4 linked regions of the Lonchura striata genome follow. The protein of the gene in region 4 interacts with the protein of the main gene of each other region in a biochemical or structural test. Links are inferred from orthologs where the notes say so. Each region holds a gene or a part of one and is shown on either strand. Other genes may lie near its edges.

Region 1 (7,493 bases), on a different chromosome or scaffold from region 4:
CACACTGAGTCAAGGAGATGTCTCCCCTTGCTCCCCTTTTCCCCCACAGCCTTCTGCCCCACCACCTCCCCACTCCCTCCAGCTCCTATTGCTCCCAAAGGCAAATCTGTGGCTTCAGACCAGCATATCCCAGAGCTGCATGGCCCCACTCATATCCCAGTCCAGCCAGGAGCTTTCAGTCATTCCCTAAATCCTGAATGCCCCAAGAGTTACCCCTCCTCTCTGGCAATGGAGACATCAGTGCAACCCTCTTGCAGAGGACAGCCCCCTGCCTCATCTCCCTCAGCTCCACTGCAGACTCGTGTGTGGCCTTTGGCTCTCCCCAGATGCCTGAACCACCCCTGTGCTGTCACTTGTGTCCTCAAGCTGAGGAGAGTCTGCAGAGCTGATCCCCAGAGATGGACCAGGACAGCCCAAATGGATGTGCTGCCACACAGCTCCCCTCTCCCCATCCAGGGCTCAGTGATGCTCCTTGGGATCTGGATCAGCTTTCTTGGCAAATGCAAATGCCACAAACTGACAATTCTCAAGAGGGCACTGGGGACAGGGACACATGCTGCCAGCCCTCACTGCTTCCCAGCATGTGTGGGCCCTGCTCTCAGTGGGTTGGGTGTGTGACTCCCCCTGCACTGCTGGCGAGCGTCCTGGTTTCACTCCTTGGCTGTGTTTCGGGCACGGGGCAAGCAGAGGGTTAACAATTCCCACATTAAAGTGGCTGCAGATGTGTGGGAAAGTCTGGGGCCAGAGGACAGCACCGTTATTAGTATTCACCCAGGAGCCTGTCGCTGCCTCCCGGGGCTCTGCCGAGCACATTTAATACCAAGGTTCGTGGCGGGGGTGAGGAGGAGTGCGTGGGACGGGGTCGGAAAGGCCCCGAGGTGGGGAAAGGCAGCAGGATAACATCGTCCTTGGCTGCTGCCTCCTCCCAGTGCCCCAGCCCAGAGGATGTAGGCAACGGGCCAGCACCCCTAAGGACACAGCACAATACATGGGTACAGCCCAGTGTTACCTCCTGACACTGCTGGCACCCTGTGGTGTCCATGGCCAGGGTTTCCAGTGCTGCAGGAGTGTTCCCAGTGCTGGGCAATGCTGCAGGATACTCCACAGGATGCTTCCCATCATGTTATGCTTGGGCATGCACTCACTTTGGAAGAAGCCCAGCCCTTTCTGCCTCCCCTTCTTCCCTGGGCACTGGTGTCACCCACCCAGTGCAAGCAGGACCACACACACACACACACACACAGACACACACACACACACACACGGTACAGGCTCCTCAGGGCAGAGCTTTAGAGATGCTGGATGAAGCCTCGGGGCAGCTCCCTGCAGGGCCCAGGGGCTGCATCCAGCCAGCAGCATGTGCTGGCAGCTGCCACAGCAGATGGGCTGCCCAGATGTGGTGCTGTGCTCCCTGGCACCCGCCACTCCTCTCTTGTGCTCTGCAGCTTCACACCACTTCAGAGCAACGCTGAAATTCCTGGGCTGACTTGGAACTGATAGAGGCTCTGAAAAACTGAAGCTGGAGAAAATCTGGCCCTCATCAAACCTTCAAAGGAGTGGAGTAGGCCAGCACCTGCTGCTTCTTTTGTACCTGCCTGTCACCTGCTGGCACATGGTACCTGTTGCTGACTCAGCATGGTTGTTTCCACCATTGTCTTGGGTCACCTGGCTCTGGTCTCTCTCCTCTATATCAGGCTTGGGATATGGGCTTTTCTCTGTGGTCCCAGCTCTGCCTGGGATGGGGCAGGAGTTCAGAGAGCTGCTTTTATCCACGTGATGCAAGAGCAGACCAAATACCCTGGAATGTCCTGTTTCAGTGGTTGATTTCCCTACCAGAGATGCTGCACTACATGACCCCAAGCCCCCATTAGCACTTAACAACGCTTATTGAGGCTGGAGATCTCAGCTGAGAGGGGTCTGGCATCCCACACTGCAGCTGTCCCAGCCCCAGGGGGACCACTGGGTCCTGCAGCACCACGAAACACCAAAAATAGAGGTGAGCAATGAAGGGCTGATGATGCTGAAGTAGCAGAGCTGCTGCCCTCCACCCCCACACTTGCACAGGCGAGTTCCTCTGGCTTTGGTGCTTCCTCTGCGCTGGCCTTTCCCAGGAGCTGCTGTAACCCCAACGTGCTGTTCCTAAACAAAATGTGCGGCTGCGGATGCTCCCTGGGGATGTACAGAGTGGGCTGACGTGTGCTTGCCGGGATGCTTTGGGCTCCCCAGGGCTCTCTCAGCATCCCCAAACAATGAATCCTGGCCTTTGCAAGACTGGGAGGTTTTGTTTGCCAGATTCTTCCTGGACCCAGCCTGGAGTGGGTATTGGGACCATCTGTTTGCAAAGGACTGAGGGAAATACGTCCCACTTCAGGCTCAGGATGCTCTACCCTCAAGCATGGTCTGTGTCATCTTTTCCACCCCCTGCTCATCCCAGGTAGCCCATCCCCAGTGCAAGGGGCCCAGCAGGATTGCAGCAGTGGGTTTCTCCCTCTCCCACTCTGCCTGGAACAGTCACGTCCTTGGAGCGGGGACACTGCCAGGAAACAGCTCTGCTGAGCAATTCCCAGCAGCCCTTAGGTCCCCACATATGGACCCAGCAGACACATCTTTGTCCCTCGGGAAAAGCCCTGGGAAGAGCCATGTGCAGAGCACATCCCTCTGCTGCCTGCCCCCCACACGAGCTGCTCTCAGCTCGCTGCCTCCATTTCTGCACAGCAGCTTGTCTCAGCCCGGGGGCTGACAGGGCCCCTGGCACAGCCACCACCAGGTCTGGAGCTGGGGGAATCCTTCCAAGCCAGGGCTGCATCCCTCCTGCAGCTGTCCTGCTGCCAGGCACAGCAGCCCCATGCCATGAGTGGCACACAGGGATAGCCTGGCTGCTGCAGCCTGGCTCTCCTCACACTCCACAGCTGCACAGAATAAACACCTCCCCTTTGGTTTTTGATAGATAAAAAGAAAACATGGAGATAATGTGAGGTAAGCAGCAAATCTCTTGGGCTGGTCCAGCCAGGGGATCATTCCCTCTGGCCATTGTGCAGGCATTGACTAGCTTGGCAGGAGGGGATGAGTCTGCCTTGCAAAAAAGGCAGAAACACAGATTTCAGCAGTGTTGTCATGGAGAGGGCTTTTTAATTCTTAGAAAGGAAAATTAAAGGAAGATGGGCAGGTATCTTTTCAGGATAGCAGTGCAGTTTTGAACTATTTCTTATTTGGATCAGAGAGAAACACAGAATGGTTAAGGCTAAAAAAGATCTGTAAGATCATTGTAAGATCATCTTCACCACTAGGCCATGTCCCCAAGTGCCACATCTAGACATTTCTGAACACTTTTGGGGATGGTGATTGCACCACTTCCCTTCGCAGCCTGTTCCAATGCCTGACCACCCTTAAGCATCCCCAGGATGAAAATCTTGGCAAGAACTGATGGATCAAAGGCAGTTTTCATCCAAAGATAACCTGTCCCTTGTTACAGTGCTAAAAAAAATTGAAAAAAATCCACTCTGCACACATGATAATGTTCTGCCTACTGAAAGTTTCTCAGAAACTTGATTTGAACTCCTTAAGAAGCTGGGAGGATTTAAAACTGGTTCATCACGTGGATTCCATCCCCCAGGGCAGCAGGGGTGTAGGACATCTGAGATGATGGCATGGCTGAGGTGACCACTCCTGCCACCTCTCCAGCTCTGTGCCCTCAGCAGCCCAAACAGCGCCAAATCCCCAGCTAAACCCACCCTCGCTGCAGCATCCCAGCTGCAGAAAGCCTTTTATCCCCCTTTCCAAAAAGAAGAAGAGTTGCAAGGGTGCGTTGGTGGTCCCCAAGGGGCAGTGGCCAGTCGGGGTCAGGGGCCAGGAGCGGCGGGGCCGGCACAGCTCAGCACAGGGAGGCATCGGGGGAGCACACGGAGTCAGCTCAGTGCAGGCCTTCTTTAATAAAAACATGAGTCAGCTGCTGGCGTGGGCAGTGGATTTTCTAAACATCCCCTCATATCCTGAGAAAGGGGAAAAAAAAAAAAAAAAAAAAGAAAAAACGGGAGGGGGGGGGGGGGCTAGAGGGGGGAAAAAAGAGAAAGAAAATAAAAGAAAAAGAAAACAGAGGGAAAGGCCAGAATTGAAAGCAGACACAGGGAGAGGGCAGCTCCTTCCCTCCGGTTTAAGGAGGCGATAGTCGGGCTGCTCCGGGCTCCTTTTGTTCCCTGTTAGCCGGGCCCTCATCGCTCGCCCCATCTCAGCCCGCAGCAGAACTCTCCTCTCCTTGCAGCCACTTTGGCTTCTTCTCCTTTTATTTATTTTTTTTTTTTCCTTCACCCATCACACTCGTCCGCCGGGCGTTAATCGCAAATTCTGCTCCGCAAAGGGTCCCCACAGAGGGTGGAGGGAGGAAGTCGGAGGAGCTCCGCTCCTCATTGGCGAAGCAGCCTCCCCCCTTCTCCTCCTCCCGAGGTCTCTTTTATTTATACACGCACGCACACACGCGTGCACATCCCTCGGCCCCGGGCTTTGCTCCACGCTGGGGTCCGAGGAGGCAGAGCCCCCTCCCAGCTGGGCTGGGGCGGCACAGGGCACTGCTCGGATGCACTAGAGGAGCAGAGCAGGGGCTTGGCTGCAGCCCAGCCTTGGCACAGCCTTGCCTCTCCTTTTGATTTTATTTTATTTTCCCCCCGCTCCTCCCTTCCACTTCTTTCTTTCCCTCTCTTTCGCCTTTAAGTGGAAAAGCCTTGCCAGCTGGGGAAGGCTGGGAGGGCAGGGAGAGCCTCAGCAGGCAGCAGATAGAGAGTTTGGAGGAGGAGAGGGAGGAATTTCGGAGCCTTCCCGGTGGGACGTGCGGCGCAGGCACTCGGCTGGCGGGACCCTGCTCAAGGTAAGCTCTTGTGTCGCCCACCCGGGGGCTGGCTCGCCCTCCTGCTCAGCTCTGGCTCTCCAGATGGGAAATGTCGTGTTGGACCTGGTACAGCCCCGAAGGACCCTGTCCCTGATCCGGCCCGGCTGCTCTGCAAGGGGCTCTGCTCCCCTCCAAGGGTTGGCAGCCCGAAACGCCCACCAAGCCCTGGGGAGATGGTGTTTGGTGGAAAGCAGCTGAATTCTCCGGCATCCCACGGGAAGGAACACGGCATCAGCTCTCACCAGCCCCTGGGTGGGGATGGCTGAGAGGAGCGAGGGGATGCTGCGGCTGTAGGACAGGAAGGGGGGACCCCACTGCAGTGGGAGTAGGGCCCAGGTGATCTCTGCTTCTCCCTGGATTGGGGCTAGCCCTGGCTCTGCAGGATGGTGGCTGTGGGAGGGCTGGGGTGTGCAGGGGTCAGAGGCTGTTCGCCATGCCAGTGAGATATCCTTTGGAGTGTGAGTGCAGAGCAGTGTCACCCCTGTCATTGCCAGCCTGTCCAAACACACCCATGGCCATCAGGCTGCTCCAGGGACCGTGTCACCTCTGTCTGTGGCCATGGCAGGGCTCCTGTGCCTGTGGCATGGAGAGGGACATGTGCAAGCCCTGCCCAGGGTCTGTACCTGGGAGTGCTGCATACTGGAGAGGGCAGAGCTTGGTAAAACTCTACTAGGCATAGATGTGGGTGGCTACTCTGCTGTCCTGAGAGCACAAGAGCTGAGGGCCTCCAGCAGGGCAGAGCTGGTCTGGAGTGAGGCTCTGACAGCCCAGGAACAGGGGTGAGCATGACCTGCGGAGCTTTGGTGCTCACAGTGGCCTTAGAGCATCCAGCTCCTGCATTCACCTGCCAACTGGGAGTCATTCAAAACAGGATTTGTGGTGGAAAGGGATGTTGTGCTTTTCCGTCCTGGTCCCAGAGCAAGTGGGATTTATGCTAAAGCATGGGGAAAGTAGCTTAAAGTAGTTGGTCTGGTGTGCACACCCTGTGCTGGCAGAGGCTTGGCATTCCCAAATCTTTTCAGAAGATCTCTCATTGATGAAAAGGATTAGCAATGTTGAGACCCAGTGCTTCCCAGAGGCCATTGAGGGGTGGCTGGGAGGGTCATTCCCCCTCAGCACCCTGCAGGACAAGATGCTTGTGCCTCCCATGCTCTTGGGGAAGGAGTGAGTTTCGTGTGGTCAGTGAGCCAGTGTCAAGGACGTGTCTCTGCCTGGCAGAGGACACAGGCCAGGCTGGCTTGGAGGAGGAGCTGCCAGGCAGCTGCCCTGCTTGGCAGCCCTGGCCAGGGTCTGACATGAGGCTTGGAGTCACTTCTTGACAGGGATGTCACCCAAGCTTGGGTGTGCTCTGGCTGCTGTGGCAGCCACCAACCCTGGGCAGTGTCCCTGAGCCCAGGAAACACCTCTAAATCAGTCAGTGCATCGGGGGGATCGGAGTTTTGGACAAGCACCAAGTCACAGCATGCACAGGGCTTTTCCTAAAGCTGGCTGTCCCTTCCTCCAGCTCAGGACTATGGAGGGTCCTCATAGAAGGAGCAGTCCAGGAGACAACAGCCACTCATGTCCCTGTCCCTGCATCACCTCCTGCATCCCTGCCCAGGACTGGGAGTGCGGGGTGCCCGTGGTCAGTGTGCAGCAAGCACAGCCAGCTGCACTACTGCAGTCTGGGAGAAGTTAGCCATGGCTTATTGTCCACAGTCCTGGGCACATCTTGTGGTGTGCTGCAGGGCTCTGGCCTGGGCTTGGTCCTGTGCAATCCCTGCATGAACCACCTGGGAGGTGGCTGAGCACACATCCTGCACCCTGGGGTGGCACTGAGCTGGGCGGGCAGCTGTGTGTGAGGAGATGCCAAGAGCTCCAGCAGAGTCCAGAAGCGAGCAGAGTGGCTGTAGTGGACACAGACCAGATTGCAGCACGGTGCCAGGAAACCCAAGCTCTTCCTGAGGGATGCACTGGAAGATGCATGGCTGGAGGCAGCTCAGAGAGGCAGGGTGGATGGAGCAGGTCCTCCCCAGCAAGTGACACCAGGTGCTTCAGCAGGGATAGGTGTGGAGTGGATGGGCTCAGGGACAGCAGTGAGGATGATGAGATGTCCAGAAGAAGCTGCAAAGGACTGGGAGAGGGGTTGATGTGGCTCGTTGGTCACTGGGTGTTGTGGGAAGGTGACACACAGCTTCATGCACAGGAAAAGGCATCACAGAGAGAAAAGAGATTTTAGGAGGAATATCTCTAGGTTTAAAACAGAAGGCTGAGTTCCTTCAGCATCACAAGTCTCAAAGCACACGTCAGGGAAAGCTCTGGCTGGAAGACATGGGCACAGGACAGTGACACCATGATCTCTTTCAGCCTCATTTTCAATGGGTCTGTGACAGGATTTCCAAGGCATTCAGAACAACTCTCTCAGGGAGAGGAGAGCACCGAGCCTGTCTGCAGGAGCAGAGCAAGACAGGATTGTCTCAGTGAACACCAGAGGAAGGCTGAGATTAAGAAATGCTCTCTAGCTGTGGGAGTAATGCCATGCAAAAAGAGACCATTGGCTGGATATGGCATTGGCCAAGTGTCCAGCTGCTGCCAGAGGCTCCAGGCAGAGACTTCTCTGCTGGTCCTCAAGGTT
Region 2 (7,657 bases), on a different chromosome or scaffold from region 4:
AACAAAGACTTTTATGGTCCCAGCATCATAAATGGCCCAGCCTCACTAGATACCAGGTGGTGAGTGGCTGCTTGCCACTAGTCTGTGGCAAATTCTCCACCACTCTTCAAAGAATATCTGTAATCACTGATACTGAAATTGGCAGGAAAAGGCTTTCTAACACAATCAGAGCCATTAGAAAGCAGGCATTCTTCATCTGTACAGGACACACAGAAGGACACTTTATTTCTGTGTGTGTTGTGAGACTTTACAACAAGATATTTATCTACTATAATCATACCTGTAAATTGTGTTTCTTGTCTAACACATAAACATCACTTTCCTAGAACTAATTTCCATGTATCTGCCTCCTACAGGAAGTCCTGTTGGGGTTTATCAAGAGGGGTCTCTGGTGGCCAAATTCACTGAATGCTTCAATATTAAAGGTGACTTTTCCTTGAACCTTTTCTTTGGGCATAAGCTGCTGATTCTTCTTACATAATTTGCAAAAACCCCTCTGTAGTCCTCTTTATCTGTTTCTCCTATGGTTCTAACCATGCTTATCATCCTGCATGCATACCTTTACATCCTTTTATCTTTTTTTTTTGCCAGTTAGTCTTTAAACTCTATTCAGCAGCCTATTCAGGGAAGCTGAACATTTTTATTCTCTATGTTATTTATCATCACCAGCTTGAATTGCAATCTGAAATAGGAAATCAGCTAAAGTCCTCCAAGAATGCTCCTATGAAAAGCTCAGGTTAAGCCCTCATGACAGACACAACCATTTGAAGTCCTAGAGAACTCTAAATATTCAACAATTATAAGTTTTCTTACACTGAATCACTGAGAAAACTAAACTACTTAACTGAACAGAGGAAACTGAATAACACAGTCTTAATGATTTGCATGTTGGAGGCAACACTATTTTTGACTCATTGTCTCAAAAATGAGAGGTTATGCACTTTGTAGATCACAAATGTGAACATAACTCACAGCAGAGATCATCACCCTTTACACATTTTCTTTAAATAAAGAATATAGCCATGTCTCTAATAATTTGGACGAAATCTACCCACTCAAATTAGTAACATGCTAGACAGGCAACTGTGCACATTTTAATGAATTCTTTGAAAATATGATCACTGTACCCATTGTATTCAAATAGCAGGAACATAAAATGTCAGTAATTAATAAAGTAAAACATTACTCACCGCTCCAGTGATGTCACTAACATTGCAAAGGTTAGTAATTCCAAGTTCTCCTTCCTGTAGGAAAAAATATCATTTTTTAAAAGACTCAAAATATTTCCCCAGAATTCTTTGATTAAAACACACTAAGTCATTGCATTCTTGTAAACCAAATTTTCTTTGGTTGATGTTTCCTCATCTGGAGAACTTTTTTTTTAATAACTATCTTCTCACTTGATTTCCGAGATACCATCAAACAAAGACATTAGTGAAATCAGTTAGTGTTAGTCAAACTATCTGAGGTAGGAATTTGGCTCTTACCTTCCCATTCTGGTTCACTGAGTCAATAACAAATGCTTCACAAATGTGTTGGGATTAAATGACAAAGCCAAGTGGCTTTGACCTCTTGGGTGCGGAAAGACCTTCCTTCAAGCTAAATGCCTTTTGTCTGGCCACCTTTTGAAGGAGTTTTATGCAGCCATATGGTGATCACCACCACCCTTCTTCTCCTGCCAAAAGTTCTCTCCAACAAAAGTGCTTGCTTTTTCACATCATTCAAAGTGTGCAAAACCCATCACTGTCACTGAAGTGCAAATGATTTGAGGCAACCTTAGAGAAGCTGAATAGCAGCTCATAAATTTTTGACCTGAAACCAGGTAAGAGCAGTCTTAATAAAACAATTCTCAGGAAGAAATTTTCAGCAGAATGAGTACACCATGACAATAGTGAGAATCAAAGCTCTCACAATAAAATAAAATAAAATAAAATTCAAACACAACAAGTAGACCAAAGGAGAAAAATAAAATTTACAACTCTCAGAGATTATATTTTTCACATAAATGTGATTTCCCTGTCTTTCAAAGCTGAAAGGAAGAGCAGCTTATTTCTTATTCTGAGATAATTTAAACTCAAATCAAAGGATCCCCATTAAAGTTATCATTGCATGATAGGTTTCCATCAGGGAAGGCAATTAACTCTTTGACTGGTGCAAGAGCTCCAAATAGTTTTAAAGAAACTGTCAGGGACGTGTATGAAATAAAATAGAGTAGTTGATAGTTCTCTGCAGCAGGTTTCCACAATAAGCACCAAGGCACAAAATGTCTTTTTTACAAAGCAAAGATACACAGAGTGCTCTAAAACACATCAACATGTTTCTGGCAAATAGAAGCATGGAGGCAACTCCTGAAGGCAGAATAATTGTCTAGATTTCAGAGGTTTTGCTTATCTTTGTCTTGCATTCATAGAATGTATTTCACACTATTCCAAGGAATATTAAGAAAGTATAAAACTAAGGATCTGATGGCTAATTTTAATACTTACAGAATTACCCACAATTTAAACCAGGTAACTTAAAAATTAAACTTCAACTAGGTTCAGGATAGCTGTGTGTGTCACAGAAAAGATTTCTTGTGACTTTACAGTTTTCCTCGATTATATAACAAAAGACCTGGACTAGACTGAAATGAATGAGTAAAGTGAATAAACTGAAAGAATACAAGTTTATCTTCCCCACCCTCCAGGGTTGTTAGCATTTATAGTAATTACATGCAGAGTAGTGGGATTTGTTCCTTACCTGATTCCACAAATTCAAATGTTAAATATTAATTCTCAAGCTCTGCTCTTAATACATTCTTTAGGGAGAACACTGACATGTAATATGAAGTTCTTACAGTGCTAACAACAATCTGTATTTCAAAAGATTAGGTACAGGTTTTGAAAACTTACCAGGTTACTTGTACATAAGTTTTGACAGTTCCTTGAGAAAGCACAGTACACTGCAGAAATCCATAGGCAGAAAAAAGCAACAAGCCTTTTTAGACAGAAAACCCACAGGCAATTGTTCTTCATAACTTTAACAATTTCACCTGATAATCTGCCTCTTCTCTTAACTTGGCCATACAAACTCCTTTTAGTTTAGGTGACAGAAATACAACTGTGAAATTTCTGCATGTTACATCATTAAAATATTTTCTGAATCCTTGTTTACACTCCGCTCCTTCAATAACTTCTCAGCTTCCTGGAGCACTTGTCTTGAACTTATGCAACCTCTATTTTATAGTTTCTTATTAAGCCACTGAAACAAAAGAGTTGACAAATGAAAGTCAGTGTATCAACTTACACAAATATCATAAACGTAAAACGGAAACTAAGTGCAATGCCTTTAATCAGGTGCTCCAAGCCACACGGAAACAAGGAAACAGTGGGGAAAAAAAGGCCTAATGTTAATTTTGACTAGATTAAGCTATTTCTAAATATTTGTACATGGATGCAACTAAGAAAATTTGTTGGTGACGATGAATAACTTTGTTAGAATACCATTGATCATATCAGACATGGCAAAAATTTAAATTAATTATTTATTTGAATGACTGTTTCCAGATGTTCAATTTCCACATTAAAATAACACACAGAACAGACCCATGTCTGCCCTCAGATGCAACCTAGACACAAACTAACAAGACCCAATTTGCTAGGGGTTCACTAGATGAGGAGGCACTATTGTACAAGTGTGCATCCATATCATGGAAGAAAAATTAATCTGATAGATAAATTGTGTGTCTGATTTAAAGAGTGGTCAGAGTCTTACATAAAGTTGAAGACTCACATTAAAGAGGTCCATGGAAAGTCAAGCCTTAAATTTGAGTTTGATACATCCAGATTCTGGTCTGTGGTACATCTGTGCTGTACCAGCACAGATAGCCACAGAGTAATTCCCCAGTAGAAGATTAATCCAGTTTACACAGTTTACATACACACACACATATATATATATACATACATATATATATGTGTGTGTGTGTGTATGTATATATATATATATATATATATATATATATATATATATATATACACAAATGTTATGTCATTTTGTGCATGTGTGTTACTCATTACAAATCAAAGGTGCTACTTTATAAATAACACAGAATTCTGATGATCAGTTGAGGCTGGTGCATCCTGTTATTGCTGCTTAGAAAGGGTACCTGCTTTTCCACCATACCTTTCAAAGTCCCATTCACTTGCCAAAGAAACATTTCTGCAGTCATCCAATAGAACAGGCTGAGAAACTGGTTAACACTAACCCAGCAACAGCAGAGGTGAATTGGTTGGCATTAATCTGCTGGCTCAGGCTCTTGTAGAGTTCCTTGTCCTGTTCTGTCCATGCATTGAAAGGAGTAAATGCACTAAAGAAGGAGGAAAGGGGGAGGAGGAAAGCCAAGCTGGAGACAGACAGTGAATATTGGGAAGAACGTGGCTCAGTGTGGTGCAAGGAAGGAAAGGCTTTTAGGACTAGGTTCCTCCCTTATCTTCCTGTTGCCCTGGGAAGAACTGGCAGGGTCTCCTTGTGCATTATCTCAGTCTCACCACTATTCTAGGGAGCTTCCAGATGAGAGTAAGGCTCATCTTAAGTGAGATTTGCCTTCAACTAAGGGCTTCCAGCTACACAGGTGTGGGGGAATGTCATGATTTGACACGGGAAAAGAATTTTCTCAGAAGGAAGAGATCAATCCAGTCAGGGGTCAGGTTTGGATAATGACACTCGGGGTGACCAATTGAGGGTGGACACGCCTCTGAGAACACAGAGGGGTTAAAAGCAGAATTCCCAGGAGGACTCACTCTCTTTGGTTCCAGTCATTGGAGAGTGCAGACCTCCCCTGCCCAGCAGTGAGCTGGGTGGGGAGGGGAAGCCATATGGCCTGCAGAGATAGGCCAGGGGATGAAGGGTCTGGAACCAAGCTGGGCCAGCTCCTGAGGATGGAAGGGTGGAGAACGTCTGACATGTCTTTGTTCCCCCCCCACCCCACCCCACCCCAAACTAGAGGAAAGAGATAAAGAGCCTGCAGACACCTGGGAGTTTGCTGGCAGAGGAGAAGGAGGAGGCGGGGGAAGATTCCCAGCATGGGAGACAGCACAGCATCTTGGGCCGAGAGATTTCAGCCATCCGGGGTCCGGGAATTTTAACCCTTTCCTGTGAAATGAAGGCTTTGTGGAATATTGCTCCTCCTCAGTTTGAAGGAAAGGGAGACAGCCTGGGACCGCAGATGTTAGGGAAAAAAGGTTGGGGGGAGATGATGGAGTGGCTGTTGGCTGGACTCTTCTTGTTAGCCATAGAGTGAACCATTTTCTCCTCCAAGAGAGACTGCATTTTAGGGGGATGCAATGGTGAGCCAAGAAACTCCTCCAGCAACTACCAGTTCAGGAATGAACAGAGAAAAGCTGAGGAGGGTGTGAGGGGAAAATGGGGGGACTGTAGTCCCAAAATGAGACACTGGACACTGTTGGTCCTTGGCAAAGCATCCTTAAAGGAGCCCTATAAGCAGTCTCTGTCCATGCACGGTGGTGAGAGCAGTGTGGCCTGGAGAGGAGAGTGTCACACTGGCAGGTGTGTTTGGGCGGTGCCATGTGTGAAGTGGAAACACAAGAGGTGGCAGCTGTGTTTCCTGGGGGTCTGTGGTGCAAGGGAGACTCCTCTGTCCCCTGATGGACTCAGTATTATGTGGAAGGGTGAAGACTTGATTAAGGGTCTAAATGTGTCTCGCTGTGATTTATTGGAGTTGGGTAGGGGAAGGAGGAATGTTTTGAAAGGTTTTCATTTTGAATTTTGTGTGGTTTTTTTCCCCTTTATAGTAGTAGTAGTAGTAGTAGTAGTGTAATAAAGTTTTCCCCTTGTTATTAAGTTTCACAGCATTCAATTGATAGGTTACATTTTCATTGTGCCAGTGTCAAATAATGACAGGGAATTGCCACCCAATTTGCTTGTCACTTCACTCCAGGAGGATGCTGCCCCCATTCCGGCCCATGAGAAAAGCTGCTCAAAAAGGAGCTCCTTAGATCCAGCCAAAATAAGCCCGTTTAGTCTGACTGCTTAAATAAAGGTCTCTGCTAATCCAGCTCATCTTGGCTGAAGAAGTTTCATCAGAGCTCACGTGACCAGCAACACTAAAGAGGAAGCTGATGACAGGCAGATGAAAGCTGCAATTTCTTCCTGAAGCAAAGAACTTTGGCTTTGGTTAGTTAGGAGATTTAGGACTTTCAGGATTTGGTCTCCGGGACTTTTAGGTCTATACTAGTAAATTCAGTGTACCCACATCAATACCCTGGCAAGTGGCATGGGATAACCCACATCCACAGTTTAAAAATCTCTTATAATCCAAGAGAAGATAGACATAGCTGAAATACCTATGTGCAATGGCTCTTAGATTTACTATATCCCAAACTTTTTCCAGATACTATTTGTGCTAGTGCCGATGTGGATTAAAATCAGACAGAGTTCAACAATTGTTCTATGTGGCCACTCAGGATTAAGAATGCTGGTTGGTATGGATTTAAATTACTAACTTAGATGCAGTGAAGGTAAAGAAATATGCCTAAATTCAAACTTTAAAAAAATATTTTAATGGCATTTAAGTAGTCTTTTTTTATTATTATTTGTTTTGGGTTTTTTAAAGAACTGTTTGGTTGTTAGGATGTCTAGAATGTTTTTTCAGGATGTATAGGGAGAAGCACTGGGAGAAGAGAAAGACAGAATCATAGAATCAATATAGTTGGAAAAGACTTCCAAGATCACTGAGTCCAATCTTTGCACACCACCATGCCAACTAAACCATAACACTAAATGCCATGTCCACAGGTTTCTTGAATGCTTCCAGGGACAGTGACTACACCAGGTTAAGAACCAGGTTAACTCCTCATAAGGAATATAATCAAGGTGCATCTCAGTCTGAAGAAAAAGTCCACAGCACTGTAACAATAACAAAACAATATTTGGCTTTTCAGACAAGGAAATTTTGTTACTATCAAATGCACATGATGAACCCTTTGTAACTGGAAAGCTTGGCTGTTACTGATGAGGATAAGTCTTGTCAGTGAGTCTTTGCACACTCGTATAGGGGTAGTGCACACATGCCTCGCACAAATGGGCTCTAACCATTGCAGTTAGTTAATAAAATAGTAATATTAAAGACACTATTCAAACGAACTACTCAAATGGTGCAGAATTTTTTCTTAAACTTCCAACACTATTTTCCACGAGGTGTCACTGTAACATTCCATAAACTGCGACTTTCAAAGAAAAAAAAAAAAAAAAAAAAGCACTGAAATACCTCCTTTCTTGTTTACCTTCCATTGAACACATTGGGAGAACAAATAGTAACAGTCACCTGCGTCTTTAGGTTTTTAACCTGAATTTCAGGAATTCTACAAGAACAGAGCACTTATGGGCTTTGGAAGCCAAACTTTAAAAGGACTGTTTGCAATATCTGTAAACAACAAAGCATTAAGTGTAATTTTTAAGTACATCACTTCCATTACACTGCACCCTGACATGGAACTAGGGATCCAAATTTTGTGAGATATAATTTATAAACCTAGTCCTTTACATTATAGATCTACTTACAGAATATAATTTCCTTTATCTCAAAGAGCAGCACAAGGAAGATGTGCTTGCAGACCAGCAAATCTGCAAGGGAGAAGACTGAGAAAATTTCTATTAA
Region 3 (7,770 bases), on a different chromosome or scaffold from region 4:
TAGAGAATTGGAAATCTGTTAGGATCAGAATCCAGTTCCAAGTTTGTGAATGGACAGGAACATTGGAACTGCAACAATGACCAAAATCCCACATTGGCAACCAGTTTACAATATAAACTCTGCAAGTTTCTATAGAATTGAAGCTACAAAGTAGCTTTGTTTAGGTTAGAAAACAACTGCCTGACTGAATAAACGGAGATTGCTTAGAAACAATGTCAGAGCCAATATGCTGCTTTATGGGTGTCAATAGTTCATTTGATTAAAGTAGCAAAATGGATTGAGTTAATTATCATATCTTTAGCTGTCAGAATAGTTGGATATATTTGAAATACTGCTGTTTAAAAACCTTAAATGAAACAAAAAACTTTTGTTCTGACAAAAGAGAACATTTTTGAGTTTTTTAAAATAAACCTGTACCAAGAAAAAAACCCCAAAACCCCCAAATCCCCTACCAAAACCCAAAAGAAGGCCAAGCAAATGGAAAGGCTGCCATGGAAGCACTGAATGAGAATTCCTCAGGCTTCAGCAGCTCCCACAGACTCAGGTTTCCAGTGGAGGTGGGAGTTCCCCAGCACAGCCCAATCCTGCAGTGGGGACAGGAACAGGGCTGGGGTGGGAACCAGAGCAGGAGCTGGGATGGCAAAAGGGAGCTGGGCTGGTGGAAAAAAAATCCTGGGGGTAACTGGAGCCTTGCAGAGCCGAGGTGTTGGCAGCTGCCCCTGGGCTGGAGCTGGGGAAGAAATTGTGAGCACAGGGGGAAAGGGTTTGAGCAGTTAGCCAGACTAAAGGGTGTGTGTTTAACATGCTTTAACTTAAGCTCCAATGTCTCCATCAAACTGGTGACCTCAGGTACAAAAGTGGTGTTCACTGGCAGTTCTGTCCCTGGAAGGCACTGTTAGTTCAGGAGGGTCATGTCCAAAGCAGAACAGTTCCAGGTGTCCTTTTGGCCCCTTCTGTGTCACAGGACAGCTGACCCTGCTTGGCAGCTCCTGAACTGAGCTGCTGAGCTGCACTGAGCAGCACAAACACTGGAGCAGTTCTTCAGTCCCCAGTTCCTCCTTCTCAAGATTGCAGCAGCTTTTCTTGTTAGCAGAGCCCTTCACAGCTCATGGGAACAACTGACTGCTAGTTGTCACAAAGTTTATTTTCTTTTTTCCTTCCCTCATCTCCAGCTTCCCTTTCTCAGACTTAGCAAGCATTTTTTTCAGTCTTTCCTTGACAGACAGCTCTGTTGAGGTCCCCTAAGTGTTCTCTGCATTTGTTTGCAGCATTTCTGGACAAACCAGACACATAATGCCACTTATGACCCAAACAGAGTGGAACAAAACATATTCCTGAGCAAACTGCTCTTGCTAGAATATCTCTAAGTATTTGCCTTATTTTTTACAGGACTTTAGTAGATATTTGATTCTCTTTGGTTTCTGGATAGAATCCAGCTGCACTCTACAGTGGCTGTATTTTAGGATTTCAGGCCTTTCGGAATTGCCTAAACTCCATCTTGACACCTGCTCAGAGTAACACAATTCACTGACACGGGAAAAGATGCTTCAAGTGTGCATGTTTTGTTTCCATCCAGGAAAGTCTTTGCTGAGGATTGAGTTCCTATAGAGAACACTTTTTTTTCATTTGCTTTGTATGAAATTGGATTTGAAGCCAGTGTCTCAGACAGTTTTATTCAAGCCATACATTCCAGAGGCAGGGAGGTTGGTTAACATTTACCTCAGGTGCTGCTCCCATTAAAGTCTCATATTCAGGGTCCATCTCTGGCACTGGCAGTCACCAGAGTGGGGCTGGCTGGGGAGGAAGCCTGGAAGTTCCATTTCTACAAATTGCTTTTTCAAATTGGCCTAGGTGTGAATGTGAATATCCTGATACTTTCTCCAGGAGGAGTTTAACTTACACCTGAGCCAGGTGTGTAAGGGAGGACATTGATGTGGTAAAAAGCATTATCCCACCTCACAGGGTCTGCTTCCCTTATCTCCCTTATCTGGCTCTGACCCCAGCTCACTGCTAAGCAAAGGTCAGATTGTTGTGCTCATCCTCCCAAGGTGGGTGATGAAAATATCTAAAATTTCAGAAAATATCTGAACCCCCTCTGCACCAGGGTTGTTCTTAGGATCAGAGGTTTGTCCACCACACATCCAAAACCTCTCCTTCCCTTCAATCTGGCCCCAGCAAAGCACCAAATTAACGCTGACACTTCAGCCTCTCACAGTTACAGGTAGGTGACACAGCCTGGGCACTGGGCATGCCATGGTAAAGGGCAGCTCTAGGATGTCTAGGGTAAACATTCCAGGGTAAAAGGAAGGATCTACCCCAGTCTTTTTAAAACAAATGTGGGCAGGACAAAAGAAAACCACTTCATAAAGATCCACTTTCTTTGGGATGTGATGAACGTGAAGATTAAATTCTCACAAGGTTTGAACTTTTTTTTTTGGCTCTAGGGATATGGAGTAACCTGAGTTACTCTAGAAAAGTAAACCCTTCTGAAAGTGGTTCAAAGCCCTTGACTCCACTTAAAACAGAGACAGAAGACCACCAGAGAGAGGTGAGAGAAAATGGAAAATGTTGCTGCCCTTTGAAGGCAGCAGAATGTCGGCAGTGTGAATTTCCCCCCTGTGTTGCTTAAAATGGTTTGAGTCTCACATTTTCAATCATCAGTCACCAGACCAGCACTGCATCAGAAAAGTCTTACCATTGGCAGCTGTTATTGAGGGGACGCTTTTTTTGGTGTGAAGGTTGTGTCACTGCAGGCTATAAAATACCTATGAAACACTTAGTGTTTTTAAAAAGAGGGGAAAAAAATCTTAATAAAAAAATATGCTCCCGATAATAGCAGTGTTCCTTAGCTTTTGAAAATCCAAGAGCTTAAAATCCATCTCATGAGATTGCCAGCTGCTGTAGGAGTATATCTGAAAATTCATATATAGAAAATACAAAGTGGTGTTTCCTCAGCAAGCCTTACTGAGACACCACATCTGATGTGCTTATGATGTTACAAAAGAAGCTGTAGAGAAAGACAGAGCTCACATTCGTGTGCAGCTGGGTTTTGCAAGAAATGCATGAAATCTGCACTTAGCTATGATGCACACAGTGCCACAGACAGGATGCAAACAAATAATAATAGATACATGTGTTAGAATTTCTGTGTTAGCTGCTCTTGATGCTGGGAGATTGCCTTCAGAGGTAACTGCTTTCCTCCTTTCTCAGCATCAGAATAAATGATGCTGTAATTCTCCTTATAACACCACCAGCATAAATTTTGACCAGACTAATTAATTTCATATTAGTACAAATAAGGAGTAACACAATTGCAATTAGATCTGCTACACTGGGTTTGGGATAGAAACCAGATTAGAGGGTAATGAGACACATCTGAGAATAAGCAATTAGGAATTTAACACAGGCTTCTCCCTGCCTTCCTGCTTGTTTCCCTGAGAGATCCAGGGGCTGTGATGGGATGTCTGAGGTGTAGTTATGTAACCTCCCCTTTACCACTGCTGACAATGCACCAGCAAAGCAACTTTTCCTTTGGGGATTCTTTGGCACCAGCTCCTTCAGTCCTATTTCATCCCCAGACCTAGAGGTGATAATATTTCTGTGATATTGTCAGGACCTGCCTCAGATGATTCACATAGGTAATTTCAAGTAAGAACCCAGAAAACACAGCTGTAGCATGTATTTGATAAATGCTACTCTTCTTAGAACAGCTCTGACAGCAGTTTAATTCCAGAGCGTTTTAAATACCATGCTGCCATCATTTACCAGAATTTCTACAGGAAAAAAAGTAAGCTACTCTAAATCAGACTCTGAACTTCAAAAGGAAAACTCTTACAGTGAAGACTGGTAGGTTTGATCTCAAATACATGCACTCGTGTGCAACACACCTGCAGACATGAGGCTAGGAGGCTGTCAGTGACTGGAGACAAGAGGGATGCATTTCATTTCTCCATAAAATGAAGAGGAAATTTCCTCCCCAGCGCTTCAGAACTATGCACCTATTCTTACCAGTCCAGGAAACTCAGAAATTTTGTGCAGTCTAATGGAGGAGTGAGGCCAAGGATTCACAGCAGCACAGCACAAGTTCCACGAGAAGGGAGAATGGACATGCTGGCTCTTTTTGAAAAGGACACACTTGGAATTACTCTATGTAATCTCAGCAAAGGCACCTACTGATAGGAGGGTGCCTGAATTGGTTGTGCAGGACAGATGAAAATTTATCACATCCCTGTGGTAATAATATGGTTTTGTGGGTTCATTTTCAGATACCAAATCCTCATAAGAAGTAGCCAAAAAATGAACTATTGATACAATGGCAACATAATAATTTTTCATCTAAACTTGTACATTTTTTAGTTTCACTGAGTGATTCTTTATTTGAAGGGATATTGACTGCAATTCCATCATTAATTCATTATTTCCCCATTATGTGCAGCTCTGACAATAACCTTTAATTGTACAAATAAGGATATTTCAGGTACTGAGGTAAATTAAAGCAGTTTCTCTTAAGTCAATGTTTTCTTCTTAGTGGGGCCTTACCAGAAGAGTAACCCACACCTATGCAAATAATATTACAATATTTTTATGCATGTATAATGTGAGTAATGCAATTAAAAGCAATTAGGGTCCATAGGCATTTATTTCTGTGTAGCAGGCAGAGCATTTTCAACCCTCTGCTGTGCTTCCTTGTTTACTTATTTATATTCAGAGAAAGGAAGTGGTAAGGCTGACTAGCTGAAACTTCTCGGAGTAGAGACCATTTTGTACCAGAGGAAGCAGTGTCTCTCTGGAACGAACTCACAGCATCATTTCAATTGACCAGAGCAGTTCCTTGACAGAAGGAGCTGGAGGTTGGGCAAGAAATTCCTTGGAGGTGGCCACAGAGAGGGAGCCCATGGCAGTGTCGCTGGCAGCAGGGCTGTGAACGCTCCCTGAGCCTCGGGGGACACCAACCATGGACCTGCGGAACGTCCCCTACCGCTCCGACGTGCTCACCTGGGACCCAGAGGACTTAGCAGAATATTTCAGGACGGTGAGTTTGGCCCTGGTTTGTCTTCATCTGATGGAGGAGCAAACTGCTGGAACGTTGGTAGGGCTAAATTCAGATCTTTTGTAATGGGCAAAGCTTGCTGCAGAACTAAAAGCAAAACCGCTGTCAAATGAGAAGCTGAGCTCAACTGGTCAGCGAAAATGAATCTTGAAAGGGATTTTTAAATTGGGTTTAAGAGAAACTCATGGCTTACTTAGAGCAAGGGAACAGGTTAGTACAATGCTTGTTGGTGTAACACACGTTAACAGCTGCGGAAGGCACTAAGGTGTGAAGATTACAAGTTTTCTGTTTAATCTTCAATCATTTTCAGAAGTGATATTTTTTTCCAAATTGCTGGGTGTAACAAATGAGCCTCTGAATGTCTTTGTTAATCGCATCCCTGGCTAGACTTATAAAACTTGGCACACCTCGGGCTTAATTTTGAAATAATGTGAAGTTTATTTTTGTTTTTTCAATGGCTCCTATAACTGTGAGAGTCTTATCTAGGGAGGTGAGGAAAGTTTGATAGTGGAATGCAGAACTACTTAATAAAGATAAGCAGATCAAACATAGAAACTGTGTCTACCAAATCTCCAGAGAAGTGAAACTGCCAACTACTTACAAGCCCCTAATTTTAGGGTGCAGGAGTTAGTGGCACAGGAAAGTGAAACCAAAAACTGGAGATGGAATAGATGAGATCATTATCAACAGGCAACTTCAGACAAGTACGAAAAACATTACAACAGCAGTGCAGAGCAAAGTTGGACCACCATTTCCAAGAAATTAGGAAGGCAAAAAACGGCTTTCTGAAAGATCTGATAGTAATATCCTGAACAGTGACAAAAGGATCAACTGTAAGTTCTACCATCACTGAATGCACATTTATCTGCAGTGCCTCCCTTCTATGGATCAAGATCCAGAATGGAGATACTGGCATTCCACTCTTGGGAGCTAAATCAGGACAAAAGCTGTTTAAGTAATCTAAAAAATCTGGGTGAGACAAGAATGTCAGCCCAAGTCAGGTGGCTCTGGGCTACTGTCACAAGTGAACAGAGCTTATCCCTGAGATAAACTCTGAGAATATTCTATACTCAGAGATCTATATAAACTCAGAGATATTATCTCTGAGATAAAGGATGAATGAACCAAATTTTCAAATAATTTCTGATTTTTTTTTTTGGTTTAGAAAAAGCAAAGATGTTCATATTTGGGATATTCCAAGGTTTGTTTTTAATACCTAAAGAGCATTTTTAAATCAATTACTTCAAGATTGAGATTAGGTCTCAATCACAGGGATGTGTTGCTTCCCTCTGCATACAGACTTGTGCTGGTAACATCACAATAGCGTTCACTGTAGGAAAGAAATTATATACAGGTTTAAGTCTTCAGTCTGCACTGAAGTTTTAATCTGTATCCTAAAATATTTACCAGAGTTTTTTCATATGAATAACTGAAGGTAGCTCCTAAAAATATCCTCTCTGCTGTTCGGTTGTTTCCAGGATCCGTACCCGAAGTTACAAAGTTACACCTTAAAATGAAAACTGGGATAGGGCTACAAAGCACATGAAGCTCCCTGGGAAACCTCTGCTGTAGGGGAGCTGTCCCAGCAGCACAGGGTCGTTTGCAGAACTTTCACCACTGAAGTTTCAGACAGAATAAAAGTCATTCTTTTGTCTCAGAGCCTCCAAAAGTTTCTTTGTCTGCTCTTTGGGCTCCTTCTGATAGGGACCTGACCAACTTGAAACAGATCTAAGCTATAAATTGTGTTCTTACACTGTACTATTACAGTTCAAATTAAAAAAAAAAATAAATCCCAAAACAAAAATCAATCAATCAAACAAAACCCAACAACAACAACAAAAAACCCAAACAAAAACCCAAAACAAGCAAACAAACAAAACCAACCAAAAAAGACCAAAAAAACCCCAATCAAAACCAAATTTAGGACAACTGTTTAATGTTTAAAAGTCATGCCTTGCTTTGTGCTCAACCTGTACATGAGCAGCTTCTAAAGAGCATATCCTTGTCCTAAATGCTACTGGAAGTCATAATACTGTGGAAAAGCTTTACAAATATTATAGATAATTTCCAGGATTAACAAGTGAGATTTCTATCCAGAAGTGAAAGCTTTTTGATCACAACAATGAATTCTGTGACTGGGATCAGTCAGCTTTAGTATTCCTGGATAATCAGGTTTTTGCTTTACTTCTGCAGCTGCTCATCCCAGTCAGTACCACAATAATCCATTTTTCAAATATTTCTTTGGGCCAGGCAGCTGTGAGGTGGTTTCTAAGTGTGAGGAATAACATGTTCCTAAATGGATGAAAGCCTTTAAGTCACTGAAGGATGTCTGTCATAAAAATCTTTGTTTATGGGACAAAATGAGCCATTTAGGTGGGCCATAGCATACAAAAAGGTATCTACTCAAAGCCAAACATATGTTGTCTTAATTAATTCTTAGAGTTAAGGGTGCAACAATCATCTTCTTCTCATTGACAGCTAAAGTATAAGGACTGTGAGAAAGTCGTGAGGAAGCACAGCATAAATGGACAAAGGTTTTTGGTAAGTGGAGCTGTAAAATTCCTTCCTGTAAAATTCCAACTAAGTGATGTTTGAGACTCCTCCTTATTTTGCAGATGGAGAGCCACCTTCCAGGTGGTTACTGAGGTATAAATATGGGAGGTAAATGCTTTTGCTAAAATTAGCCAGACAACTTGCTTTAAATATGCAATGCTGGAGGC
Region 4 (7,240 bases):
TGCTGTTCTCCAAAGGGCATCAGCAGAGTTCCGAGGGGCAGGGGCATCCTGAGGCGGCACAGGACCAGACTGAGGTCTGTTAAACAGAGCCTAGGACAGACCCACCCTGTCAGGATGAGCAGGTCCTGCACGTGGGCAGGGATGGGAGTGGGGGTGCAGCAGGGTCCTGGATGGAGCTTTAACTCGGCTCTTCTCTGTGTCACCTCTGGCTGCAGCCGCACCCTACAGGGACCTGCCGGGCTCCCTCTCTGCGCCCATGTCGGCGGCGCACCAGCTGCAGGCCATGCACGCGCAGTCGGCTGAGCTGCAGCGCCTGGCTCTGGAGCAGCAGCAGTGGCTCCACGCCCACCACCCCCTGCACGGCGTGCCGCTCCCCACGCAGGAGGACTACTACAGGTGCGTGGAGCTGCTCTCTCCTCACAAGAACACCTCCAGGCCCAGCCCTGCCATGGGGCAGGCACAGGCAGTGGGAACAGGGAAGCACTGCCCATGGAGCGGGTGACTGTGCCCAAGCCCACACCGGGAATGGGGATGCTTTGCCATGGGGCACCGCTGTGGCTGGTCACCAGGAAGATCATACTTGGCAAGTGGCTATTCAGTGGCTAGTTCCTTGTGAGATCTCAGCTCCTCCGGCTGAGGCGGGAGATAACTTTATTGTGTTTCACACGTGTTAATGCAGTTATGAGTAACTGATACCCCTGCCAAAATACAAAACATTTATAAGGGTTTGATGGTTTTGCCAAGATAAGGAATTCATGTGTGCATGGGAAGGCACACTGGGAAAGAGAGAGGTGGAATGTTGTACCTTTTCAATAGCATCTCTACTTAAAGATCTACAAAACCTCCCAGGCCAGCAGTGTTGTATGGGTCCAGATGAACAAAGACAGGGGAATGGTGTAATATTGCCTTTTTCCCTTTCACTATCACCTTGTTCTTTTTATCCTAGCCACCTGAAGAAGGAAAGTGACAAACCCCTTTAAACGGACTTCTACTGTCAGTGTGACATCATCATGTCTTTCTCTCAAGAGAAGCAATCAATCAACCAAATCCTGGGGGAAGGGAAGCTGCAAAGTGACACATCCTGATCCCACCATGCAGTAGAGTACTAGAGAAGATGACAGAAAGTATGGGATGGCATCCTGGGAAGAGTGGAGAAGAGAAATTAGGGAGGGACTGAAACACCACTAATGGACCTGAAGCGATTGGTACGTGATTTCAGCTGAGCTCTGAAGAGAATCAGCATTGCACAGAGCTCAGAAAGACAAAGCCTGACATGAATTCAGGGTGGCAGGAGCTCCATCCTTTGTTTTGGGGGAACAGTTGCATTAAATAAAAAGTGCAGAGCATTGCAGGACTTCATGTACAGGATGCTCCTGCCTTTTCTGCTTCTGCAAGGAGGAGGTGCGGCCAAGAAATAACCGCAAACACAAAAGAGCCTTTTTTCGAGATGCTTCCTCAACACCCCACCCCCCTTTAGGTGTAAGATACTGCTTAGCGATACAGAAAAACAACGTGGAACTTTTTCAGATTTAGCCAGAGCAGCTTCCCATTCTCCCAACACCCCTTCAGATGCAAACAAAGCGTTCCAGGTCCCTTCCTGAGCAGCCTCTCCTGCCTGCGGAGGGTCCGGTCCCAGCCATCGGGGTGCAAAGCACTGCAGGACTGTTTGCAGGACGGTGGCTGTGCTTTCCCCAGCTGCCGGGAACGGGCACGGCCATGAGGTGCGAAGCACCAGCAGACTGTTTTGGAGACTGCCATCAGCACCGTGACCCCTCTGAGCCCCGTGGGGAGAGCTGGCGTGGCCCAGCGGTTACACTGCGTCCTGGGACTGTCTGTAAAGATGGTGGCTGCCCCTTTCCCCTCACCCATCCTAATTGATGTACTTTAACTCATGCACATCCTATTAGACGTGGCAGTTTTATGTAGCAACTTGTGACTCCCTTGCCCCCGCGTGCGTGTTCTGATTTCACAGTTGTATCTCTCGATTGGTCCCCCATATATTATATATATTTACTTAACCATTAAAGGAGAAAACAACCAACAACCCAGCTATGGAAAAGAAAGAAAAACAACCACCCAAACGATGTTCCCCACGCACTCCCAAGCCCTGACACACATTCTAATAATTTATATATATATATAAATATATATATGAAGCTCTTAAAAAAGGAAAAAAAAAAGACAAAAAAACCCTTTCAGAAACGGGACTCTGGTGTGTTCATTTCTTTCCAGTGGGGCTAGAACGGGAACGGCAGAAGCACTCCCGGTGAAAACTGGGAGAGGCTGGAAGCGGGCACCGCCTCGGGAAAGGCGCGGCGGCGCCGCGGGGAGGGGCGGGGCGTGCGCACCGCGGGCCAATGAGAAGCGATAAATTTGCATACGGGCCGGGCGGCACGGCCGGGTCCGTTCGGCGGCGGCGGAGCCGTCGGTATCGGCGTGGAGCGGGGCGGGGGGACGGCACCCGGACGGGGGCCCACGGAGGGGCTCGCAGGAGGGAAAAGCGGACCTCGCCCTCACCTCGGGGTGGGTCGGCCGGGAGGGGCTCCTCGGTCGTGGCGGAAGGCGGGCAGTGATTTCAGCTCTTTTAGAATTTGTCCAGCAGGTTTCCCGCGCTGGCGGGAAGCCGCTCCCACCGCGGTGCAATGGCAGAACGGGGCGGGGAGGCGCAGCCGCGCTCGGGCCGCGCCGCGCCGGGGCCGCTGCTCGGTCTGGCGCCGGAGCCGCGGCCGCCCCGCCGCGCCCCATGGCGGCCTCCGCGCAGCCCCCGGTGCCGCCGGCGCTGAGCGCGGAGCAGGCGAAGGGTGAGTGCGGGAGGCTCCGTCTCCCGGGCGGGCCGGCGGCGGGGCGCCCGTGCCGCCCGGCTGGACGCGGGGGGCCGGCGGGCGGCTGAGCGCTCGCGTCTCGCAGCGGTGCTGGCCGAGGTGATCAAGGCGTTCGGGGCGCCCGAGAACGCGCAGCGCATGGAGGAGGCTCGGGACAACGCCTGCAACGACATGGGCAAGATGCTGCAGTTCCTCCTGCCCGTGGCCACCCAGATCCAGCAGGACGTGATCAAGGCCTACGGGTTCAGCAGCGACGGCGAAGGTGGGTTGTTCCCCCGCCGGGCGGGATGCTCCGGGCCCGCCGGGGCAGCGGGGCCTCCCGCCCACCCCCTTTCCTTGCAGGCGTCCTGAAGTTCGCCCGGCTGATCAAGTCCTACGAGTCGCAGGACCCGGAGATCGCCAGCATGTCCGGCAAGCTCAAGGCCATGTTCCTGCCGCCCATGACGCTGCCGCCGCACGGGGCCGGCACTGGCGGAGTTGCCGCCTCCTGAGCCCGCGGAGTTCTCCCGGTGCTCCGGCTGGTGCCCTCCTTCCAAGGTGCGGGTCCTGTCAGCGCTGGGAACGGAGCACTTGAACAAGGGAGACGCGATCCTGGAAGGAATGGGATGTTTCGTGCCCCGCTCGTGTGTCTGCTCGTGAATAAAACGTGTGTTGAAAGTGCCCGTGTTCTATGAATGGCCGTGAGCTCAGCAGTGCTGCTCCCTGCTGCAGAGGCAGGTACAGCAGTGCTCTCTGCATGACACTTGCAACGCTGTTTTGGAAGGCCCAGTATGTGCCATCTTTTGCAAAAAGGTTTGTGCAGAGCCTCAGTGTGAAGCCCGAGGATCCTATATCAGAGTGACAGGTATTAAGCACTTTACAAGGGCAAGCATTTTCAGACTTTCTGTTTGAAGCATACTGGGAAATGCGTCCCTCAACACAATCTAGTGCTGTTCAGCAAGTGTTGTAAATGCCATTGAGGCTCCTGTCCCAGCAGGGTCAGTGCTAATTTACTCCTGCCCCCAGTGCCTGTGGCTGCCTTGTTTTGTGGCTGAATGTGCAATCCAGCACATTATCCTTAGTGCAAAAGGCAGCAGAGAGCTGCAGCAGGGAGTGTCCGAGCGTAGGAGGACTGGACTTGCCCCATTTTGCTGCAGCCTGGATTAGAACAACATAAACAACATACAATTTTTATCTCACGTTTTTTCTTGGACTGCAGAGGGATCAACCTAGTGGTGCAGCCTTGCTCCTTTGCAATATTTTCTTTCCAGTGTGGTTCAGAGGGACACCAAGGATGTCCGCTTGTAGCCTCCTGCCCTTTGTCCCTGTTGCCATTGGAAGAATTGAGTTATTTGGCGACAGAAGGGGGGAGAAAAGGGCTGAGCGTGAAGGAGCCAGGCCTGGGAGAGCAGGGAGCCAGGTGTGAGCGAGCTGCGTTCTGTGCTCCCGGTTACAAACCGGGCAGGAATGCAGCCAGCGAGGGCGTGAGCTCAGTGGATGGGAGGCAGGAAGAGCAGTCGGTCCCTTCCGTCTCCATCTACCTCTCCGAGCTTGGCCTTGGCCTTCCCCCACCCCTCTGATTATTCATTAACTACAGTCCAGGAAGTGCTTTGCAAATGGTGAGAATTAAGCCCGCGGCTTGAGGCCTGAGGTTTGCCTGACCTGGAGCTATCAGTCCGCCTGGGAGCGGGCGGAGTTCGGGGTTCGCCGGTGCGCGCCGGGCTCAGGTGAGTCACGGGAGGTGCTGCAGCCGCAAGCAGCGCCGGCTGCTGCTCAGCGCCCCGGCACTCACCGCCATGAGCATCCAGGCCACCTCTCCCCTAGCAAGGTCTTTGATCTCTCCCCCAAGTCCCTTTCAAGATCTTTTCTTGGTAATTCCAATATTGCTTTATTTTCTTTAGTGGGACCCACTTGGTTGAGGGCTGTGGTACTTCCTCCACCAGCTCCTGTCAGTCCTCCATCAGTGGGGATCTGAGAGACAAGACCCTGATGCCATCCCGTGGGTGAGTGCTGTGAATGCTAGTTAGGGCAAGAAAACAAGAGTTGCTGGTGAGAAAAATAAAAATAGCAGCAGTAGGAATCAGACACAAAAGGGAAAACCCCACAGTTTTTAATAGGAGCTGTCTATTAGAGGTAGCCAGAGGGCTGACTCCTCTGGTAGAGGTAGCCAGAGGATTGGAGCTTGCTGTGCTTTACATTTTTCCTGTTGCTCCTTCTCCCTTTGATAATGAGCAAACAGGGTTTGTGATGCCCAGTCTGCTGCAGTTCCTCTGCCACCCTGCAGCATCTCTGAATGGTTTTGCAGAGAGAGATGTCAACTGCCTGGCCTTTAAAATACTAGTCACTCTTTTATTTGCTGCAGTCTATCTAGCCCTTTATGGAACAAAAAGCAGGACATACAATCCTCACAGTCGGTCCAAACAGGTACCTTGCTCTGGAGGCTGCTGTGGAAGGGTGTCAGGAAATGGGATTTGCACTGGCATGGCTCTCTGGTAAGAATTTGGGTAACCACAGTGGTCTAGCACTGTGCTGGAGCCCCAAGGCCTGATGGAGAGCATGTGGCTTTGGCAAGTCACAAGAAGATGGTCCATCTGCCCGTCCCCAGGCAGCCTGTGCTCTGCACTAATGCCTGAATTACAGCAGACTTCCGTACAGAACAGCAAAACCTCCTGTCTGAAATCATCTCCATAACACATGCAATGCTCATTCTCAAAAAGGGCTCCAAATTAGCTCCCCCAAAATGTGAGGGAAGCATGGAACAATAAAGTTATTATCTGAGCAAAGGATGCACAGTATAATGGGGAAAGCAATGAATATGATAATAAAGAAAACACCAGCATCTGCTTTTGTAAAGGCAGATATGGTCCTGTAAAACTGGAGGGTTTTGAGGGACTTAGCAAGCTTGTGGTCTGGCCAGTACAGTTTGCTTGGATTTAAAGAATTTGACAAGATTTTCTCATCAAAGTCTTCAAATAAGGCTGAAATCACAACATTAAAAAAAGAAGGTGAAGGTTTTCCTGGGTAAAGATTTATTAGAGAATAGTAAATGGAAGGTGGGAATTAATATCCCATTTTTATAGCAAACGGAAGTCATCACTGGTCAGATCACAGGGGTCTTATCTGAAATACATGCTGTTCAGTATATTCCCAAGTTGCCTGGGAATACAGCTTGGTGAGGTGAGAAAATTGGATGATGATAGAAAGTTATTGAGGATAACAGGGTGGGAGTTGACTTGTGAATAATTTCAGAAAGACCTAATGATTGAGTGGGCAGTAGAACAGGAGATGAAAAGGCTTATGTAAAACAATGTTCATACAGAAAAATAATAGAAAAATTGCATATGCAACAATGACTGTGAACTAATGATAACCTCTCCTTGATTATAGAACTCCATGCAATTGTTAGCTTAGTGCTTGGTTATAGTGAACATCAGAAATCATCACTGTCCATGATTCACCAGCATTTTGGACACCACAGCTCTGTGCCCACTTTCACTCTTACCTCCAAATCAAAATGCCAGAATTGGAAATATCTCTGAGAGGGACAGCAAAGGTGGTCAGAGGTATAGAATAGTTCTCTACAAAAAGAAACCCCTTAGTAGGCCTGGAGTCTTCATCCTGGCAAAGAGTTGAGGATGGATACAGATGTTTCGGGTCTGTTACCATGAGCAGCTTGGAGCAGGGGGTGAGAAACAGGAATCGCCCAGATTTTTCTTTCTTTACAGCAACCAGGTGTTAAAAAAGAGGCAGGGAGCAGGTTATAAGCAAGTCAAAGGAGGGGGTGTTTCTGTAACTGAGCAATAGAGCTCTTTGCCAAAGGGCACAAAATTTGTTGTGCATTTGACAGTTGACTACAAGTAGCTGCTAACAGAGGCTTAGGAAGTAGGAGGGCAAAAGAAACTCTGTGCACAGTCTTTCTCTCTGCTCTTCCTTTGACAACCATTTTGACCTCTGGATTGCCTAGTCCCAGCCCTGCAGCTCCAAAACTAGCTCAGGTGGCTCAGGGCCTGAATGCTGACAGTGGCCAGGGTGGAGGTTCCTCAGCTGCTCTGGGGACCTGTGGCAAGTGCTGAACCCCCCTGGGGCGGAGCACATGTGCAGTTTCTCCTGATACCTAAGCAGAATTTCCCTTGCTGCAAGTGATGCCTGTTGCCTCTTGTCTTTATGTTGTGTCCCACAAAACAGAACCTGACTCAGCATCTCTAAACCCCCACGTTCCCTTTTAGGTAGTCTCAGAGAAGTGTTAAAGCCCTCCTTAAACATTTTTTCTTCAAGCTGAATAAACCCAGCTTGCTCTCTGCTATGCTCCAGGCTCTTCACTGCATTAGTGGCATTATGCTGGATCCTTTCCAGTTTCTCAGGGCCTTTTTTTTCTTGTAGAATCCAGATGTGTGTCTTTTAATTAGCTATTTCATTTATCTTCTGCTTTAAATTTTGTT

Evidence for each region.
Region 1: the proteins of PTPN6 (region 4) and PDGFRB form a complex in vitro, tested with the Homo sapiens proteins (2 studies listed by BioGRID and IntAct, with this or other methods). The link is inferred for Lonchura striata from reciprocal best matches to the Homo sapiens genes PTPN6 and PDGFRB.
Region 2: of the proteins of PTPN6 (region 4) and ROS1, one has a biochemical effect on the other in vitro, tested with the Homo sapiens proteins (2 studies listed by BioGRID and IntAct). The link is inferred for Lonchura striata from reciprocal best matches to the Homo sapiens genes PTPN6 and ROS1.
Region 3: the proteins of PTPN6 (region 4) and LCP2 form a complex in vitro, tested with the Homo sapiens proteins (2 studies listed by BioGRID). The link is inferred for Lonchura striata from reciprocal best matches to the Homo sapiens genes PTPN6 and LCP2.

Annotation. Positions count from the first base shown.
Region 1 is NC_134617.1:6,433,446-6,440,938, forward strand, and holds the start of PDGFRB (platelet-derived growth factor receptor beta), read left to right. Parts: upstream 1-4,493; 5' UTR 4,494-4,858; intron 4,859-7,493. UniProt on the Homo sapiens protein: Tyrosine-protein kinase that acts as a cell-surface receptor for homodimeric PDGFB and PDGFD and for heterodimers formed by PDGFA and PDGFB, and plays an essential role in the regulation of embryonic development, cell proliferation, survival, differentiation, chemotaxis and migration.
Region 2 is NC_134605.1:65,835,864-65,843,520, reverse strand, and holds the start of ROS1 (proto-oncogene tyrosine-protein kinase ROS), read right to left. Parts: upstream 3,015-7,657; coding exon 2,892-3,014; intron 1,245-2,891; coding exon 1,191-1,244; intron 1-1,190. UniProt on the Homo sapiens protein: Receptor tyrosine kinase (RTK) that plays a role in epithelial cell differentiation and regionalization of the proximal epididymal epithelium. NELL2 is an endogenous ligand for ROS1.
Region 3 is NC_134617.1:14,843,372-14,851,141, reverse strand, and holds the start of LCP2 (lymphocyte cytosolic protein 2), read left to right. Parts: upstream 1-4,755; 5' UTR 4,756-4,954; coding exon 4,955-5,032; intron 5,033-7,528; coding exon 7,529-7,591; intron 7,592-7,770. UniProt on the Homo sapiens protein: Adapter protein primarily involved in signaling pathways within T-cells, as well as other immune cells such as platelets, mast cells, and natural killer (NK) cells.
Region 4 is NC_134604.1:29,793,074-29,800,313, forward strand, and holds the start of PTPN6 (tyrosine-protein phosphatase non-receptor type 6), read left to right. Parts: upstream 1-4,222; 5' UTR 4,223-4,528; intron 4,529-4,702; 5' UTR 4,703-4,790; coding exon 4,791-4,804; intron 4,805-7,240. Other genes in the region: ATN1 (atrophin-1), read left to right, coding at 216-396, 947-980; C2H12orf57 (protein C10), read left to right, coding at 2,744-2,801, 2,908-3,084, 3,165-3,313. UniProt on the Homo sapiens protein: Tyrosine phosphatase enzyme that plays important roles in controlling immune signaling pathways and fundamental physiological processes such as hematopoiesis.